2 linked regions of the Caenorhabditis elegans genome follow. The protein of the gene in region 1 purifies or fractionates together with the protein of each later gene. This does not show direct contact. Each region holds a gene or a part of one and is shown on either strand. Other genes may lie near its edges.

Region 1 (8,746 bases):
GGATGATCTCACTGACGACAAGAATGGCTTCTTGAAATCAGTAGCTGCAAACACTCAATTCTGGACCGGACTCTTCAAAAACAATGATGGACAATTCTATTGGGATCGTGGAACAGGAATCAACCCGGATCTTCTCAATCAACCAATCACATACTGGGCCGATGGTGAACCAAGTGACGATCCAACACGTCAATGTGTATACTTCAATGGAAGATCGGGCGATGCTAACAAAGTCTGGACAACTGATACTTGTGCAGAGCCAAGAGCATTTGCTTGCCAAAAACATAGATACGATGCCGATCATAGACCAAACGTTATTGGAGACGATGATCTTCCTGCTGGATGGTGGTATGCTAAAGTAAAGTCCAATCCTCCTTCCGGATACCCTAACATGTGCACCATGAGCGTTCGCGTTCAGTCTAGCCTCCAGATTGTGACTGGTTTCTCGACAAAAATTGGAAACGATTTCCCACTTCCTGATCCAATTCAGGATTCTACAGAAAATCGTCTTATCAGTTACGTTCACTCAGTTGATAACGAGAACCGTGTCCCAATTCTCACTGATGCTATTCTGTGGGATGCATATAATGGAACGTTCTACAATGGACTGAAATATCAAGTTCGTTTTGGATGCCAATTCGCTTGGGTGACTCAGGACTTCCCATGTCCAAATGGAGATTCACAAGCAAATGAGTTTGGAGTGCTTCATGTCGGAGAAGATGAGTTCGGAAACACCTTCCAACGTTTGACGTTTGGTCACTGTTCCCGTGCACAAATCACTTGTGGAAACGGAGGAATCAGGCAGAACGGTCAATGTGTTTGCACCGACTACTGGACTGGATCTCGTTGTACCGTCCCAATTTGTGTTAATGGTGGAACTAGAAACCCTGACGAAGCTACCTGCTCTTGTCCAGATGGATATGAAGGACCAAATTGTCAATTTGGTAACACATTTGTATTGAATTTGTTAAATGAAATAATAATATTTCAGAGGTTTGTCAACCCAACGTCCCACAATTGTTCAGTAATGATAGAAAATCATTGCTCATGGTCGTGGAAACAACAAGGCAAAACTCTGACACTGTCAATCAGCTCATTGCCAATCTGAAGAACATTGTTTCAGCGGTAACGAATAATATGCCACTTTGGTTCACCAATTTCGGACTTGTTACTTTTGATAGTAAGCATATTATTCTTGTCCTCTGATACATATCAGTTGTAATTTTCAGCCACTGGAAGAACATTTGAAAAATTCGACTACACTTCCATCGATGATCTTATCACCGATCTCACCACACAATCTAACGCCATTTCTACTGATGGAGTTTGCAGTATGCCATATCTCGGGTAATCTAGTTTTTCACTAATTTTTTGTATGGTTTTAACGTTCAGAGTTCTTGCGCATCTTCTGGAACATGATGATGTTATTGCTATGCCGAATAGTGAAATTTTCTTGGTCACTCCTGCTGGACCAAGTGACCTCGGAAACTATGTTGAAACTATGGAAGTTTTGTTTAACACTCAAGCACACGTAAGTAACAGCTAACTCGATGAATCATACATGTTCGAATTTTCAGTTGCACTATGTCGTCTCCAAGACCGCAAACTGTGCAACATTCGATGGTGTCAATAATGTCAGAGACATGACATGGCTTGGATACGGATCAAGCGGAAACATCTTGTTCACTGATCCTGCAAACATTGTCAACGTGAGTGTAGCATTGTTTATCAACTAGTTAGCACAATATATCAATTTTACAGCTTTTCAATTCTTATCTTCCAACTCTGTACGGAGCTTCAGTTCTTCAAGATCCTACCGGCATCACGAACTACACCTGTTCCGATGGATCTCTTCCTTGGTTTGTGCCAGTTGATATCAACACAACATTTATCTACGTCACCACTTCTGCCGAGTTTGGTTCACTTTCTGTCAAGGATCCTCTTGGAGGTTAGTCGTTTTTTTTTAAATATTATCAACACCTCGACTTGTTTCAGCGGCTCACAGTGCTACCCCAGTTTACAACGTGAATGATCAAAAGATCTACGCAATTGAAGTAGACAGACTTGGAGGAATCTGGACACTCCAACTTGTTCAGCCTCCAGGATTGTGCCTTGCACATGTCTATTCAACTGGTGGAGCGAAGGTCTACACAAAGTTCTCGATGCCAAACCCAATCGGAGGAAAGCCTGATCCACTTGGTTCACATCAGGATGGACGTTTCGTACAACCAACAGCTGGTTTTGACAATGTCGCTGTTTTCCATCTTGCTGGCAATCCATTCCACAGAGGACAATTGCAGTATGTAGAAATCTTCGATATTGGAGCTAACTCAATCACAGTAAGCAACATTAAAATTGTCCCTTCACAAGAGAATAAACTCAGAAGTGATAAAATTTCAGAACATTCTCCGATCAGAGCTCTACGTTCGAGCAGGCTGCTCTTACGAGTACTACTCTGATTTGTTCACTTGCAACGGCGACATGATTGCCGTCTATGTTCATGGAGTTGATGAAGCAAACCAAAAGTTCAGAAGACAAGAAATTGTCATCTGCAATGGTAATATACGCTTACTTGTTTAATTGTGCAAGAAATTTTTCAGGACGTAGCCCAACAACCAACCAGCCAGCAACAGGAACAATTGGCCCAATCACCATGCCAACTCAACAAACCGCGCTGACTCAAGGTCCAGTAACTCAGCAAACTCAAGTCCCAGGAACTCAACCAACTCAGGGACCAGTCGCCACGGTAAATTTCAAGTATTACTGGTGATTTAGAAATTCTGAACTTACAGACCCAAAATCCATACACATCCGCTCAGTTTGATGTTGTATTTATGATCGATGGATCACAAAGTGCACAATCCAGCTTTGACTCGGTATACATTATATGCCCTTTATGTTTCCATCATATGAATTTCAGCTCACCAAATTTGTTCAAACATTCATGGTTTCGTTCAATGTTGGCCAGAGTGGAGCTCGTGTTGGATTAATTGTCGTCGGAGGTGATATCACAAACCCAATTCCTCCTGCTGCCAATCTGAACTCCCTCTCCTCTCAAGCAATGTTGAACTCTAACTTGGCCCAACTCAGCGGTGGCTACACTGACTTTGAAGACGCCGGGCAAATTCTTAACTACACTCTTCAAATTGTGTCTTCTCCCGATTTCATGGCGGCGAACAATGGTTACCGTAGTGGCATTAGCAACCATGTGTTGATCTACCTTACTACAACTACTGCGTAAGTGTTCAAAAGATTGCCAGATAAAATTAATATTTTTTAGCTTCGACACCGATCCAACTCCGGCAGCTCAGACAATTCTCGCGCAGAAGCAATACGGAATCATCACTATTGGTTATGGTGGCGCGACTGATAACAACAAGTTGCAAACTATTTCCGGAGGAAGTGCTTGCTCGTTTACAGCTCCAGATTTTGCTAGTTTGAATAACCAAATTAAGACCATTCAGCAACTTATCCTCAATGCCAAGTAAGATATATAAGTGTGTTCATTAAGTGAAATGTTCTTATTTTCAGCGCCAATGGAGGTGTCTACTGTATCAACAACTAAGGCAGTCGACCCGGAAATCACTGAAATAATTTGAATTTTAATAAACTTATCATTATTTAACAATTTATGTGTTGGACCGAAAAATCAAAATTACGAGAGAAAAAATATAATACAAAAGTGAAATGTGATGGCAATTCAATAAACTTTACTAGTGGTTGAACTTCAAGTCGAAATCATCAGAAAGTGCTTGATAATAATTTGATGATACAAAATCGTATTCTGTGACATTATTCTGCTACTACTCAATTAGAATGCAAAGGGCGTGGAATAAATTTTAATACTGTTTGAGATGGCAAAGATAAGAGTTTGCCACGGTGATATGACGTGCCGGACACACTCTCCTTTTGCGATTAAAAAGGGTTTAAATCATTATTTCATGATAATTTCATTAGATTTGCCAGGCTGCTCCTGCCTTTTCACATTCATTTTCAGAACTCAATACCTTTTACGATATTTAGTTTTTTTGGAGTTTAAGAGCAATTAAATTAATGTGAAATTTCAGTAATGAGAAGCTGGGTTTTGATTGCGGCGTTAGCCGTGATCTGCCTGGGCGCTGAGCCTGAGCTCAGTCACAAAGAGAGAATCCGCAAAGTCTTAAAGTCATGGAACCCGGCCAACAGTAATCAACTCTTCCACCCAGTCAGTGAACAGAAGATTCAATTCGATGAGCAGTCCGATCTCTTTGTAAGTTCTAGATTTCGTTTAACTATGTTCCATATATGGTTTCAGGTTGATACTCATCATATCTCCAAAAGATCTATCGCCGAGCCTCATGTTTTTGCTGGAATGGCCACCAGAGGATGTAACAAGCCAGGATACACAGGAGCCACCTGTCAATATCGTAAGTCGGATCACATATGTGTTTTTAAACTAAAAATGCAATTTCTTAGCATTGTGCTCTGCTCGCAATCCTTACATTCCTGATAACAAGGATTCTGACGATATCTCTATTGATGCAACAAATCTTGCAAACTGCAGTCAAACATACGTCGTTGTTGTTGATGAGACCATGCGGAATATCAAAATTGAGGTCGAAACTGAGTCACCATTGAATCCAACTTTCTACCTCCAATCTGAGAGTGGAGATCTGATCTTCCCTGACACTGACAGAAAAACCGTAACTTCCTATGTGGCAACATATGAGACTTTAGCGCCAGGCCAGTATCTTCTCGGACCAAGAGCTGATTCTGGAGATGAATTTTGTACTATGATGATGACCGCTCATACCAATATTCAAGTTACTGGAGGTTTTACATCAGGCGATCAACCAGAGCGCAGCGACTATCCAACCCTCAAGTTTGCCTATTTTGACACTGAATCAGCTGTTGTTCTTCATGCACAAGGACTACACTTTCCCGGTCAAATTCAGGCGATTGGATTCACTGGCGCCGAGAACCATATCTCAAGATACATTCCTATGGCAACTCGCTTCAATTGTACTTATCCATATATTTTGGAGAGGTATACTTGCAGAAAAATTGGAAATAACGATATTGGGCACAATTTATTACAGGTAAGTGCAATGAATTGATATAAATTGCAATCATAAAAGTTCAGGTTGAAGGAATGAGCGATAACGGATACGTTTTCCGTCGTATTCTGCCCTACCAATGTATTTGTAAGTGAACGTAGTTGACAACAATAATCAACCTGAGTAATTTAGTGCCACCAGTGTCTACCACCACTGTCCCTGCTCCAACAACAACCGCTGCTCCATTGACAACCTGCCAGAACGGAGGTCAAGTTTTGAAGGATTCCAGTGGTTCACCATACTGTTACTGTTTTGGACTATACACCGGACGTGACTGTTCTCAGATGTTGTGTGCTAATGGAGGTGAATACTGTAACTAGAGCTGTTAAATAGAAAACGCTATGTTGCCATTGATGTGCTACATGGTTGATAACACAAAGACAACCTTCTAAAAAGGACACTTTTTTGAGCCAGCCTAAATTGGTCATCAAATATTTTATTTTTCAGGATTCCTTCCAACTCCCACAAGCGAACATTGTGAATGTCCAGAAGGATTCACCGGTTTCCACTGTCAAAATAGTAAGTCGCCTCGGAAAATAAACTGATCACAAATGCATTACAGTTGTCTGCCCTGGTGCATCCGGAATTGATTTCAATGCTGAAAACCCGACTGTTACTCTGGTCATTCGTTCTAGAAGCCAATTGTCAGATGTTATTCAACAGGCCACAAATTCAGTTTCAAGAATTGTCGATGAACTATCTGCCGAGCCTGGCTATCTCACTAATTTCATCGTTGTGCTCTTTGATAACGCCAGTGAGTTGATTTGCAACTAATTTACCGGGGTGGCTCCCATAAGCCTACCTTCTTATCAGGAAACGGTAATGCATTATATTTTAATTTTTAGAGCTTTTGGTAAACCAGAGATATGACTCATGGGATGCCGCTATGGTTGATCTACTTAAAGCGATTAACTCTGCCCCATCCGACGGTGGATGTGATGATGTTGTTTTCTCTGCTGTTGCGTAAGTATCGACTAGTTTTTCAATGTTTTACAGAATCTTCATGGTTGTTTTACAGATCTGCTCTTTCTCTTTATCCAACTAACAAATCACCAATCTATGTAATCACTGATGCCAATCCAAATGATAGCACTGAGAAGCAAACAATTGTACACTTGGAATCTTATTGGAGAGCACCAGTATGGAAAATTTATTAAATTTAAAGTTATTCGAAAATACCAGAATGTTTCAGGTCTACTTCATTTACGTGCAACCAGCAATTGGAAGTGGCTGCAATACTTCACCCGATAGTGCTGGGTACAGAGATATGGTCGATATGGCTGCGATGTCCAGCGGAAACACGTTCTACTTTAACAACAGAACCACTATCTCCAACGTATGTTTCTTTAATTCTTTAATATTAATGCATTATATTTTAAGTTCTTCTACGTTCATATGTACAACACGTTGTTCCGCTCTCAACTTGCTCTATCTGGAGATTACTCTCACTGTGCTAATCAAAACATCTACAAATCGGTTGCAGTTGACGTGACTGCTGATCAAGTTGTCGTTGTTGCTACAGGATCTAACTTGAAACTTCAAGTCACAACCCCAACCGGAGCACACCCTGACTTCTTTGTTGCATTCAATGATGGTGTTAACTACATTTGGACCTCCAACCAAATCTTCGCTGGACAATGGTTCTTCAATTTGGTTTCCGACTCACCAAACTCTGCGTGTACCTTCAAAGTATACCAGAAGAAGTATAACCTTGGTGGAATGAGCCAATACAATCCAGACTATGACATTTTCTGGTCTTTCGCAACTACCCTCACTTCTGCAGCCGGAGTTCTCCGCCAACCAGTTGCTGGTTTTGATGCTTCTCCTGTTTTCCATGTTTCCAACTACCCCGAATTCATTTCTATGGACCGCGTGCACGCCAATCTTCAGATTTATGCTATCCGCGACGGAGTTCAAACAGAGGTTTACGGATCAAGTGGAATGTACAGAGATGCTTGTGAATTCCACTTCTACTTCCCACCATTCATCTGTAATGTCCCCGATGAAGTTCTTTACTTCAACTTCTTCGCTCGTGATAACAATGATATGGCTCTCCAACGTGCTGGAACAATGCTCTGTTCGGCTGTTCATCCAACACCACCACCACAACATCAATGCCAAAACGGAGGAGTTATGAATCCAACCAACACGACATGCTTCTGTACTCCACAATTTACTGGAACGTACTGCCAGAACATTGTTTGCTACAACGGAGGAACTGTTAGTGGAGGACAGTGTGTATGCCCGCCTGGATACGCAGGTGAAAGCTGTGAGGTGCCAAGATGTATTGAAACTGGACCAAATCCTGAATTCATCCGTTACGGAGTTGACATGGTGTTCGCTGTCGAAATTACTCAGCAATCTCTTGCTTCAATTGTCATGCTTGACAATAACTTCCAAGAAATTCTCCGCGACGTTCAAATGCAAGATCGCGGATGGATCAGAAACTTTGTACTTGTTGGATTCAACTCAACATGGGGTGGACCAATTGCTCAGTCACCTTCAAATAATCTCACGGCTATCATTGCCGCATTGCACAACCTTGCAACCAATGTTCCATCAGATAATGGTTGTAGCGTCAAACTTTGGGATGCCTTGAATCATGCCATCTTTGCCAGAGACTTAGTTCCAGGATCTTTCATCGAAATTTTCCAAACAACTCCAGAATATGAGCTCGATCAGCGCTCTCTCGGCTTGTTCTATGATATGTCACGTGCCATGGATATTAGCTTGTACGGATTTTTGACTGCAAAGCCAACGCTATTGCCGGCAGGATTTGTGTGCAATGCCACTCAAGTTAACTACTATGTTCTCTTTGGAATGGTCACCAGTTCTACTGGACAAACATACATTTTGCAAGCACTTGAAATTTCCAACGCTATTCGGCTCATCCCAATTCAGTTCTCTAATGGACAAGTGACGATTAATGGCAACAATGACTGTAGACATGAAGATGGCTTGACCACTTACTTCCCAGTTGATGCTTACACTCAAACAATCCAATTGACCGTTTTCGGTTACGGAACCACAATTCAAGTATATAATGGAAACGGAGTTCTTGCGGAAGCCCTGGAACTTTTCTATGATGATTACACTGGACAAAGTGTGTATGAAATCAGACAGGCTTGCGACAATGGCTGGGAATCGTTCGGTCAATATTGCGTCAAATTCCTCACAGTGAATGATGATATTCTCTCAATGCCACAAGCTAGAAACTTCTGTGCTTCTGCTGGTGGATATCTCGCTGATGATCTCGGAGATGATAAAAATAACTTCTACTCTTCAATTGCTGCAAATACTCAATTCTGGATTGGACTCTTCAAAAACAGTGATGGACAGTTCTATTGGGATCGTGGACAGGGAATCAACCCGGATCTTCTCAATCAACCAATCACTTACTGGGCAAATGGCGAGCCAAGTAACGATCCAACTCGTCAATGTGTCTATTTTGATGGTAGATCTGGAGATAAGAGCAAAGTCTGGACTACCGATACTTGCGCTACCCCAAGACCTTTTATTTGTCAGAAACATAGATATGATTCTGACCATAAACCGAATACTATTGGAGATGCTGATCTTCCAGCTGGTGATTGGTACGTCAAAATTAAAACAAATCCAACCAATTCTAACCCACCATACTGCTCTCTGAG
Region 2 (8,080 bases), 2.0 Mb from region 1:
TTATTTTTGATGATTTATTTCCAAGCATTGCAAATTGGTATTGTAGATCCCCTCGACCTTTCTTGAAGGTCTAAACTAACACCGTTCGAAATAAATGTTGTCAATTACAACAGAATTTATTTTTTATGCGAACTTAAAATTGAATTTGATATTTTCCAGCGAAAGCATCGAAAGCTGAAAAAAGTCACAAAAGTCACCGAGGCTCCAGCAGAAGTCACAGTACCCACGGAAATTGTTACTGAGCCAACAACTGAATCCGCAACAACTCCCACTACTACCACAACAATTTCCACCACCCCATTAGTCACAACTACACCACCAACAGCTCAATCTGCAATTGTAATTAAAACATTGCCGACTACAGTTGCTCCAAGCAAAGTGGGCGAGTCTTATCTCGGTGGATGGAATGAAGACGAAGCTGTAGTGGTCACAACATCAAAACCGTCTCTTGGATATGCAATCAGCCAATTCACACAGCTGCCTGAATCAATTGCTATCGACGACGACAAGTCAATTAAAGCGTACTATGAAAAATATTACGCTGAGTGGTATCAGTAAGTGTTTTTATAAAAAGATTTCAAAATGTTTAAGCAAACTATTTCCTTATTGCATTACAGAAAACACAATCAAGCTGCCGGCACCCCAGAGGCATCAGCCGCAACAGTTCCTCGAGAAATAAAAATAGAACTGGCTAAGCCAAACACAGCTTCTTTTGGATCAGCGACATTGCAACCCACTGTGAGTCATTTGCCTCGTCTTACCCAAATCATCTCTCTTTTTTTCTGTTTGAACACGACATCACTGTCAAACATGGGTTATCATCAATGCTATCGTTTTAGAAGCTATTAAAATCGAAGCCACATATTTTTATAGGGAATTTCTTCACCGTCCGCTGCAGCCGTAGAGCCGACAAAAGAACAACTGGACAAAGTTTGCGAATACGTGGGCAAAATATCCAAATCATTTGGAATCAAAGACCTTGTCGGATTCGCCAAGAACAATTGCCCTCTGGTGCAGAGCTTCCATCCAGCGGTATATCTCTCGAATTTATAGTCTTTTTGCATTCAAGTATTCTATTTTCAGTCCACCTGCGAGCAAATCCAGCATCTGATGAGTTACTGTGAAACAGGAATACTTGTAACCAACCAATGATCTCATACATCTTCCCAAACTGTGTATTTCTACTTTTGATGCCATGTTTTGATCTTTTTATTGCTAAATGTCACCAACTTCCCTGACAAATGTATTCTCTACCTTGTCCACAAATAATGAGATTCCATGACTTTTTTTCTAATAAATCTGGAACTGTAACAAGTAATTACCAGCCACGCCTTGTTTCCTGGCGTCATTTTAGGACTGAAAAGAGTTTTCGTCATTTTCAGAGCCGCTCCCTTTTTCATTTTCCATCAAAACTGAAAAAAAAGTGATAATGCAATTTGAAAAAGGGTATGACTATCATAATAAACGAAACGATAAACGTGCACATACACGCGTTAAGGAGAAAAAGAGGTGGGGAAGAGAAGGGGATGGTTGGCAAACCCATAAAGCGAGCCGGCCCTCGAAAGGTGGAGATTCAGACAGAAGTGCCAGCGGCAAAGTGATAACGGGAGACACGACTTTGCACTACGCCTGCTTCCCCGCGAAATGTGCTCTACCAATTATTGCCTGGCTGTTTTTGTACTAGTTGGTAAGATTCTTGACAGATTCTCTGTATCATGGAGCGCTTTTAATCGAAATTCTAGTAAAAACTAGGCACTATTTATTTGATTACCGATTTTTCAAAAATTCATAGTTCAAATGTCAATTGCTCACAACGATTTATCTAGGCACTCTCTTTTTCAAAATTTCGTTCAATTCCTGATTCTCGCATTCTCATTGCCTTTACCCCATCATTTACAAGTATTCAAAACTAAACAAGACCGTTCCACAGTTATTAGATTGGCAGAATTAAGTCTTGCACTAACCGGATTGCTTTTGCTTACTTATCATCAGTTTTGATAACGAAAAATTCCACGTGTTGCCCGGTAACGCCTAAATACTATTATGACTAAGTAACTTTTGCAAGATCGGGAACGTTCCCAAAATGAAATCTGCACAAGTATTAGACTACTGTAATTTCCTAAATCTAATGTGATTGTTGGTATTAGTTGCGTCACAACTAGCGGCGGGCATTTTCTTATCAAAAAGAAAATGTACGGTGGCACTGGATACGACTTTTAGAAACCAAACATTCCAGGCTCGATTATTTTTCAACCTATTAGAAGTTCTGGGAAAAAACTGAGAGACATGACCTTAAAAAATAAACCAATGAAAAGTTTCAGGCGTTGTGGCGGCACAAAACCCAAGTTTAACGGCATGCGATATCAATAACCAGCTAAATGTTTGTCAGAGTCAGTTCAATCAACTTTTGGGATTTGATGGTAATGAAACTGAAAAATAGAATTAAGCACAAAAGTTTTGGTGTTTCAGCTTCTCTCGGTGCTGCCAAATATCAAGACTTGAGAAGTGCCATTGAGCAGTCGTATGCCAATAACCAAGCATACGGGCTTCTTACAACTTGCGATGCCTTCAAGCAGTACAAGCAGTGCTAGTAAGTGACATAGTTTGCAATGTTGTGAGATTCACAATGTGCGACGGGAATATCTCAGTCGGTAGTGTGGTGATCGCAAGCAATCATGAGACCACTAGTTCAAGTCCTGCCTTTCCCTAGGATCACCCAACCTAGCTTGGGAATTAGAGGAATCCACTAATGGCTCGTGGCTTGAAACTAAAGCCTAGTGGGAGTTTAAAAACGGAACACCCTTTGATCCTTTAATTTTTACATCTCAAATCAACTGATTTATAGCCAACCAAAAGAACAGTTCTACGCATGTGCTCAGAACCCATACGGTCTTCTAACTGGAACCAAGTAAGTTCTCAATTCAATATATACTGTAACAGTTTTTGTCTGTTCTTCAGCAACAACGGCGCCCCACTCACACAGGATCAGGCTAATGGATACGTAAAAATCTGGAACCAACTTGATTTTGTCTGTGGTGCTGGATTCTCGAGTAAGATTAGCAATTATACTGTAATACTGAATACTAGAATTGAATTTTCAGTCTTTGCCAACTCTGAAGTTTGCGGCTCTTCTGTCTTTAACAACCAGACAGCTGCAATGAGACAGTGCGACAATGACTTCAACGTGAAGTCCATGGCTGACCCAGCTCAAGCTTGCGCGTAAGTTTTCAAGTTTTGTTTCCAATCAAAAAGAATAATGAATAATCTTAACTTTCTAGATACGTTGAGATCGCAGCCAACTGCTACTTCCAACTGTTCTGGAACGCTTGTAAGAAGCCAGAGATGGCCTACTGGGGTTGCAACTACGAGCGTACCGGTACCAATCTTCTCTTCCCACAGTGCTCTCAGATTTTCTGCACATGTAGGTTTTCAGAATGGGATGGGGTTTAAATAATGTTTATTTTATTTTCAGTCCACGAACGCGTCTGATCGTCTTTTGTTTAATCATCTCCATTTTTTGTTTTGGTCAAAATGTTTTATTTGAATTCACATTTTTGGGAATAAATCTATGTAATTTAATTCATAATTTTTTAATTTCAAAAATTTGTTTTCGTTTGAAATGCTTCAATGCATTGAATACTTCTGACTTTGTGTGTGTGTGTGTTTTTTTTTGCAAAATTAAAAATACATATTTGTGCTCACATTATGCTTTCAGATGTGGCAAGACCGGTGTTTGCCATTTCTTGCGTTGATTCTTGGATTGTCAGGTAAGTAAATTGAAATTAAAACTTGTGAAATATTTGTTTTAATCTTATTTTTTTATTCCAGGAGTCCAATCAGCCGGTCTAAACTGTGACTCGACGGTTTATTTTGAGTGCCAAACTGCTCTCAATGCGGTTTTGAGCATCAGCGACCCACAGCCATGGTTTGACCCCGAAAACTTCCGCAAGGAGGCAAGTTTTTAATACAATAGTTTCCACGCTTGCCATTCCATGAAATGATAACTGAATAAGGTGATATGACGAAGGGTGTGCATAGTGAAATGTGAAATGTGAGGTTTAGAACGTGTCGATGATAACTTTTAAGTCAATGGGATTAATTATGTCATCATGATTGTATTATAATCTGATTTTTTGATTATCAGAAAAAAGAGCAAAACACAATTATTGATTAAATTTAGGTGGAGACAAACTACCAGGCTCAAGGACCCAGTGGAATGCGTAAAGTTTGCAAGTCAGTACTTCACTAGATACTCTCTCTCGAATCCTGAATATAATTCCAGAGCTTTCCGCGAGTTTAAAGTTTGCATGGGCTCTGAATACGCGAACTGCATGTCTGCGGTCCATTTTGTTTCTGTATCGGCCACTCCATTCAACGCTTATCAATTTGTTGGACTGTTCAACCAAATGCACTTTGTCTGTGGAGCTGGATTGCAAAGTATGAATTTTTATTGTCATTTCCCGACGCGATGTCGGAATTGAATTTTGTTGAGTACACAATTACACATCTTTTTGGCATGGTATGAAGTTTCTAGAATAGGTGGAAAACACGGGGAGTGTCGAAATCAAACTTTCTGGGGCTTGCTGCTGTGGTAATTTATACACATTATGAGACTCTTAGAGGAATTTCTGAGTTATGATTAGAATAGGCATGAATACTAGCACATATTAGGTTTAAAAAAAACATTCAAGAGACGCAGGAAAATATGATATACATGGGAAATAGGTCCATCGCTGACCACAACCGAAGTCGGCTGCGCATTTACTATAAATTCCTAATTTGCTCAGAGATCAGAAATCGATTAACACAAAAATAGCGCCTTATACAGACTAATGGATTCCAACCGTAACGAGGTAACTTTCTTCATTTCAGCATACCTCCTTAATGAGGGCTGTATGTCAACTACTTGGAGAAGCCAAAGTGATGTCCTGAGACAATGCCGACTAGATTATGAGGTGAACAGTGACGTTGACGCAAATCAGGCTTGCACGTAAGAAGACCATCGGGTATTATTAAAAAACGCCAACCAAACTTACAGACAAGCCAATAAGTACTTGATTTGCTTCGAAACTCAGTTCAAAAACAACTGTGGTGAAAAATCAAACGATGCCATGTTCTGGGCTTGTGAATACTCAAGAGTCAATGTTTTTACTCGATTCCCTCAATGTGCAGCTAGATGTGTTTGTAAGTGAAACTTGAAAATTGTGAAATCTAGTAAAATTGATTTTGTTTTTTTGCAGTGCCATATAGCGGAGGAATCATCGGATGAGTCGAATAAAACGAAATGATGTCAGATACAAACAAATTATTAACTTTTTGTCATTCAATCTTAACTATGTATTATCATTTGTGATAAGAATAAATTTTTATTACTGAGAAAATGCCATCGGTATAGTATATGACAATCTATTGGTGTGGCGATGGGGAACTTCATGAAAAGTTTTGAAAAAAGGGTTTTGAAATAAATATTGCCAATAGCTTTTTTGGGACGTTTTCAACATTTGGTATATTAAACATTTTGGTAGGACAACAGATTATAAGCAAATTATTATTGAAAAAAAACTATTTTTTGACTGTGTATCTTTTATAAATTGTTTTACTTATTATGCAATATTTGAAATAAAAAATTAGTTTTTTTTTCATTCGTTTTAAAATTTCACCGTCAAATTCAAATACAAGGTTCCGAAAATACTTTTTCCGCTTAGCCCATTTAATGCAATAATCAATGTCTTTTAAGCGTACAGGATTATTGATAATCACTTCAACTGATAAGGACTGCAATTCTTAATCCCATAAATGAAACATTTCCCTAGCTTTTCCGTTCCACGACATGCTGTTGAATGTATTGATTGCGGTGTTGGCAAGTAAGTTCAAAATGTACCCCCAGATTGATTGACCTTTTAAGCATGTTCAGTAGCACCAACAGCTTTTTGTGCATGCGCTCCTTCAACTACAGGTACATGCACTCCAGATTTACTTCAGTGTTGCGGGCTACAGCTCAAATCTGATCTAGGCTTGTCAAACTGTTATGGTAAAGCTTTTATAACAATTTAATTGAATGAGCTATCAATTTTTGAGGAATTCTTGCTTTCGAGCCTGAATGTCACCGTCAAGAAATTGAAAACATGTACATCAACGGTATAAGTGGTTTGTTCAAAGTTTGCGAGTTCGTTTTTTCATACTTACATTGTCTTTTGCCCATCGAAAAAAATTGATTTCAGCGCTTTTAACAAGTACTATGAATGTCTTGGACCAGCACGACGTGACTGCACCAGCATTAGTTATCACGTGAAAGCAGGTCTTCGACTTGGGTAAGTTGGCACAATTCATTATTTCTGTTAATCTTACCAAGTTTTCAGAGATGCCGTGCAAGTGGTGTCAATGTACAAACAATTCGGATTTGCGTGCGGAGCTGGATTTGAAGGTAGGTTTTCAATAATTTTTGAGCAACAAAAAATTTTAAATGTTTAAGGATTCTCCAACAACGATGTTTGTATGTCGAACATTTTTTCCACAAAACAAACTCAGATCAGCGATTGCCGTGCCACATTTGCCAAGAATTTGTTGGCAGATTATAAGAACCACTGCATGTAATGAAATATGATCAAAAATTTACAACATAATTAATTTTTAAAAAATCTGCAGGTACTTCGAGCAATATACCGGATGTTTCAATGCATTGTTCGATCACAGTTCCTGTAACTCTGAGAGCTCTTGGTGGGGATGTGAATATGCACGACAAGCTGGTCGAGCTGTTCTGCACGATTGCAGTCTTCAATGCTCAAGTAAGTCCAAAACAGATTAATGAGCAATTTTTATTTTTTCAGCATTCTGAACGCCGGGAAGAAATGCAAATGTTTTATCAATTTTGTGGTATTTCGATTTTGAAATAAAATATTTCGTATGTTTCAACAAAAAAGCTAAATCTAAAAGAGATACCATCAAGTTGAAATAATTTCCCATCCAAAAAAAATTAATAAAACTTTTATTACAAAACAGTACAATACGAAATGTTATTGAATTTCGTAGAACCAGATCAAATTACATATTGCGCCACGTTGTTCTAACATTATTCGTAAAAAAATAGTGTGAAAATGTAAAAACTCATTTAATTTATCCGATAATTACAATCATTTTAGCTGAAAGTGCTTCAAAAATGGTTGGAAATTGCCAAATGATGAATCGAATTTTCCAGCTTTATATTTCCACAATTGATATCTTTCAGGCAATTTTTTTAGCACGTTTATTAATGTTTCAGCTAACGTCGATGTTATTTTCAAGTAAATCAAACAACATTCTGTAGTTCGGCACTAATTTTTTTAATGAAAAATGTGGGAAAAAATAATGCAACTTTTTTTGTAGAATTGCCGAAAATAAATGCCACCCACCCCTGATCATATATGCATTGGCAGGCTAAAATGAATACTTGGTACAATTTCAGAACATAACTTTTTTGTTGGTTTTTCAAAATAATTTTTTGGTCTGGTTCCAGTAAAATTTTCAAAAAAAAAACTTCAAATTGTGAATGCTTGTTAAATGGGTATCTATTTACACCTTAAATACTAGTGTGACTAAAAAGGTGTAATGCTATGGTAGAAATAATTGTTTGGTCCCATTCATGGCCCGTAATGGCTATGGGGCTTTCCCATCTACGACTCATAAAAAGTAGAAACACTTGTTTTCAACAGACCTGTAAATAAACAAGAATATTAGAAACACGATCACCATTTACTATATATAAAGCGCTTATTCCGTTTGTCCATAGTTTGTAGTCTATGTAGTCTTTGTAGTCTGCGAAGTTTTAGCTTCTGGAGGGATAGTGAGTTGGGGTTAGTGTAGGGATATAGTCGGGGTACTGTAGTGGTACAATGGTGGTACGGTAGAAGTACTGTATGATTACGGTAGTTTCAGAAAAATTGGTTTTCAGCTCCAGAAGTCGGGGGCCGCGCCGGAGGTGCGGTCCACGGCTGGTATAACAATAAACATAATTTCAGAAAACACTCAGTAAACACCAATGACTTTTGTTCTTAAAAGTGTATTAAACAAGTCATTTTTCTTTGTGCTCAAGAAAAACACGCGT

What was found.
Region 2: the proteins of hrg-11.2 (region 1) and nspg-13 fractionate together in Caenorhabditis elegans (co-fractionation; one large-scale study listed by BioGRID). This does not show direct contact.

What each region holds. Positions count from the first base shown.
Region 1 is NC_003284.9:3,230,730-3,239,475, reverse strand, and holds the start of hrg-11.2 (C-type LECtin), read left to right. Parts: upstream 1-4,067; 5' UTR 4,068-4,069; coding exon 4,070-4,249; intron 4,250-4,294; coding exon 4,295-4,406; intron 4,407-4,455; coding exon 4,456-5,078; intron 5,079-5,122; coding exon 5,123-5,183; intron 5,184-5,228; coding exon 5,229-5,399; intron 5,400-5,543; coding exon 5,544-5,615; intron 5,616-5,658; coding exon 5,659-5,850; intron 5,851-5,941; coding exon 5,942-6,059; intron 6,060-6,114; coding exon 6,115-6,235; intron 6,236-6,288; coding exon 6,289-6,432; intron 6,433-6,476; coding exon 6,477-8,746. Other genes in the region: Protein irg-7, read left to right, coding at 1-944, 992-1,180, 1,230-1,347, 1,393-1,531, 1,578-1,709, 1,762-1,948, 1,996-2,339, 2,401-2,557 and 5 more.
Region 2 is NC_003284.9:5,251,479-5,259,558, forward strand, and holds nspg-13 (DUF19 domain-containing protein), read left to right. Parts: upstream 1-3,715; coding exon 3,716-3,767; intron 3,768-3,828; coding exon 3,829-3,953; intron 3,954-4,180; coding exon 4,181-4,233; intron 4,234-4,282; coding exon 4,283-4,437; intron 4,438-4,872; coding exon 4,873-4,990; intron 4,991-5,038; coding exon 5,039-5,184; intron 5,185-5,240; coding exon 5,241-5,269; 3' UTR 5,270-5,377; downstream 5,378-8,080. Other genes in the region: Y34B4A.10 (aECM cysteine-cradle domain-containing protein), read left to right, coding at 160-554, 618-738, 874-1,032, 1,084-1,152; nspg-14 (DUF19 domain-containing protein), read left to right, coding at 1,645-1,687, 2,322-2,420, 2,470-2,590, 2,846-2,908, 2,959-3,050, 3,102-3,219, 3,279-3,421, 3,473-3,489; nspg-12 (DUF19 domain-containing protein), read left to right, coding at 5,831-5,864, 5,915-6,031, 6,079-6,166, 6,222-6,311, 6,360-6,424, 6,473-6,590, 6,646-6,785, 6,828-6,835.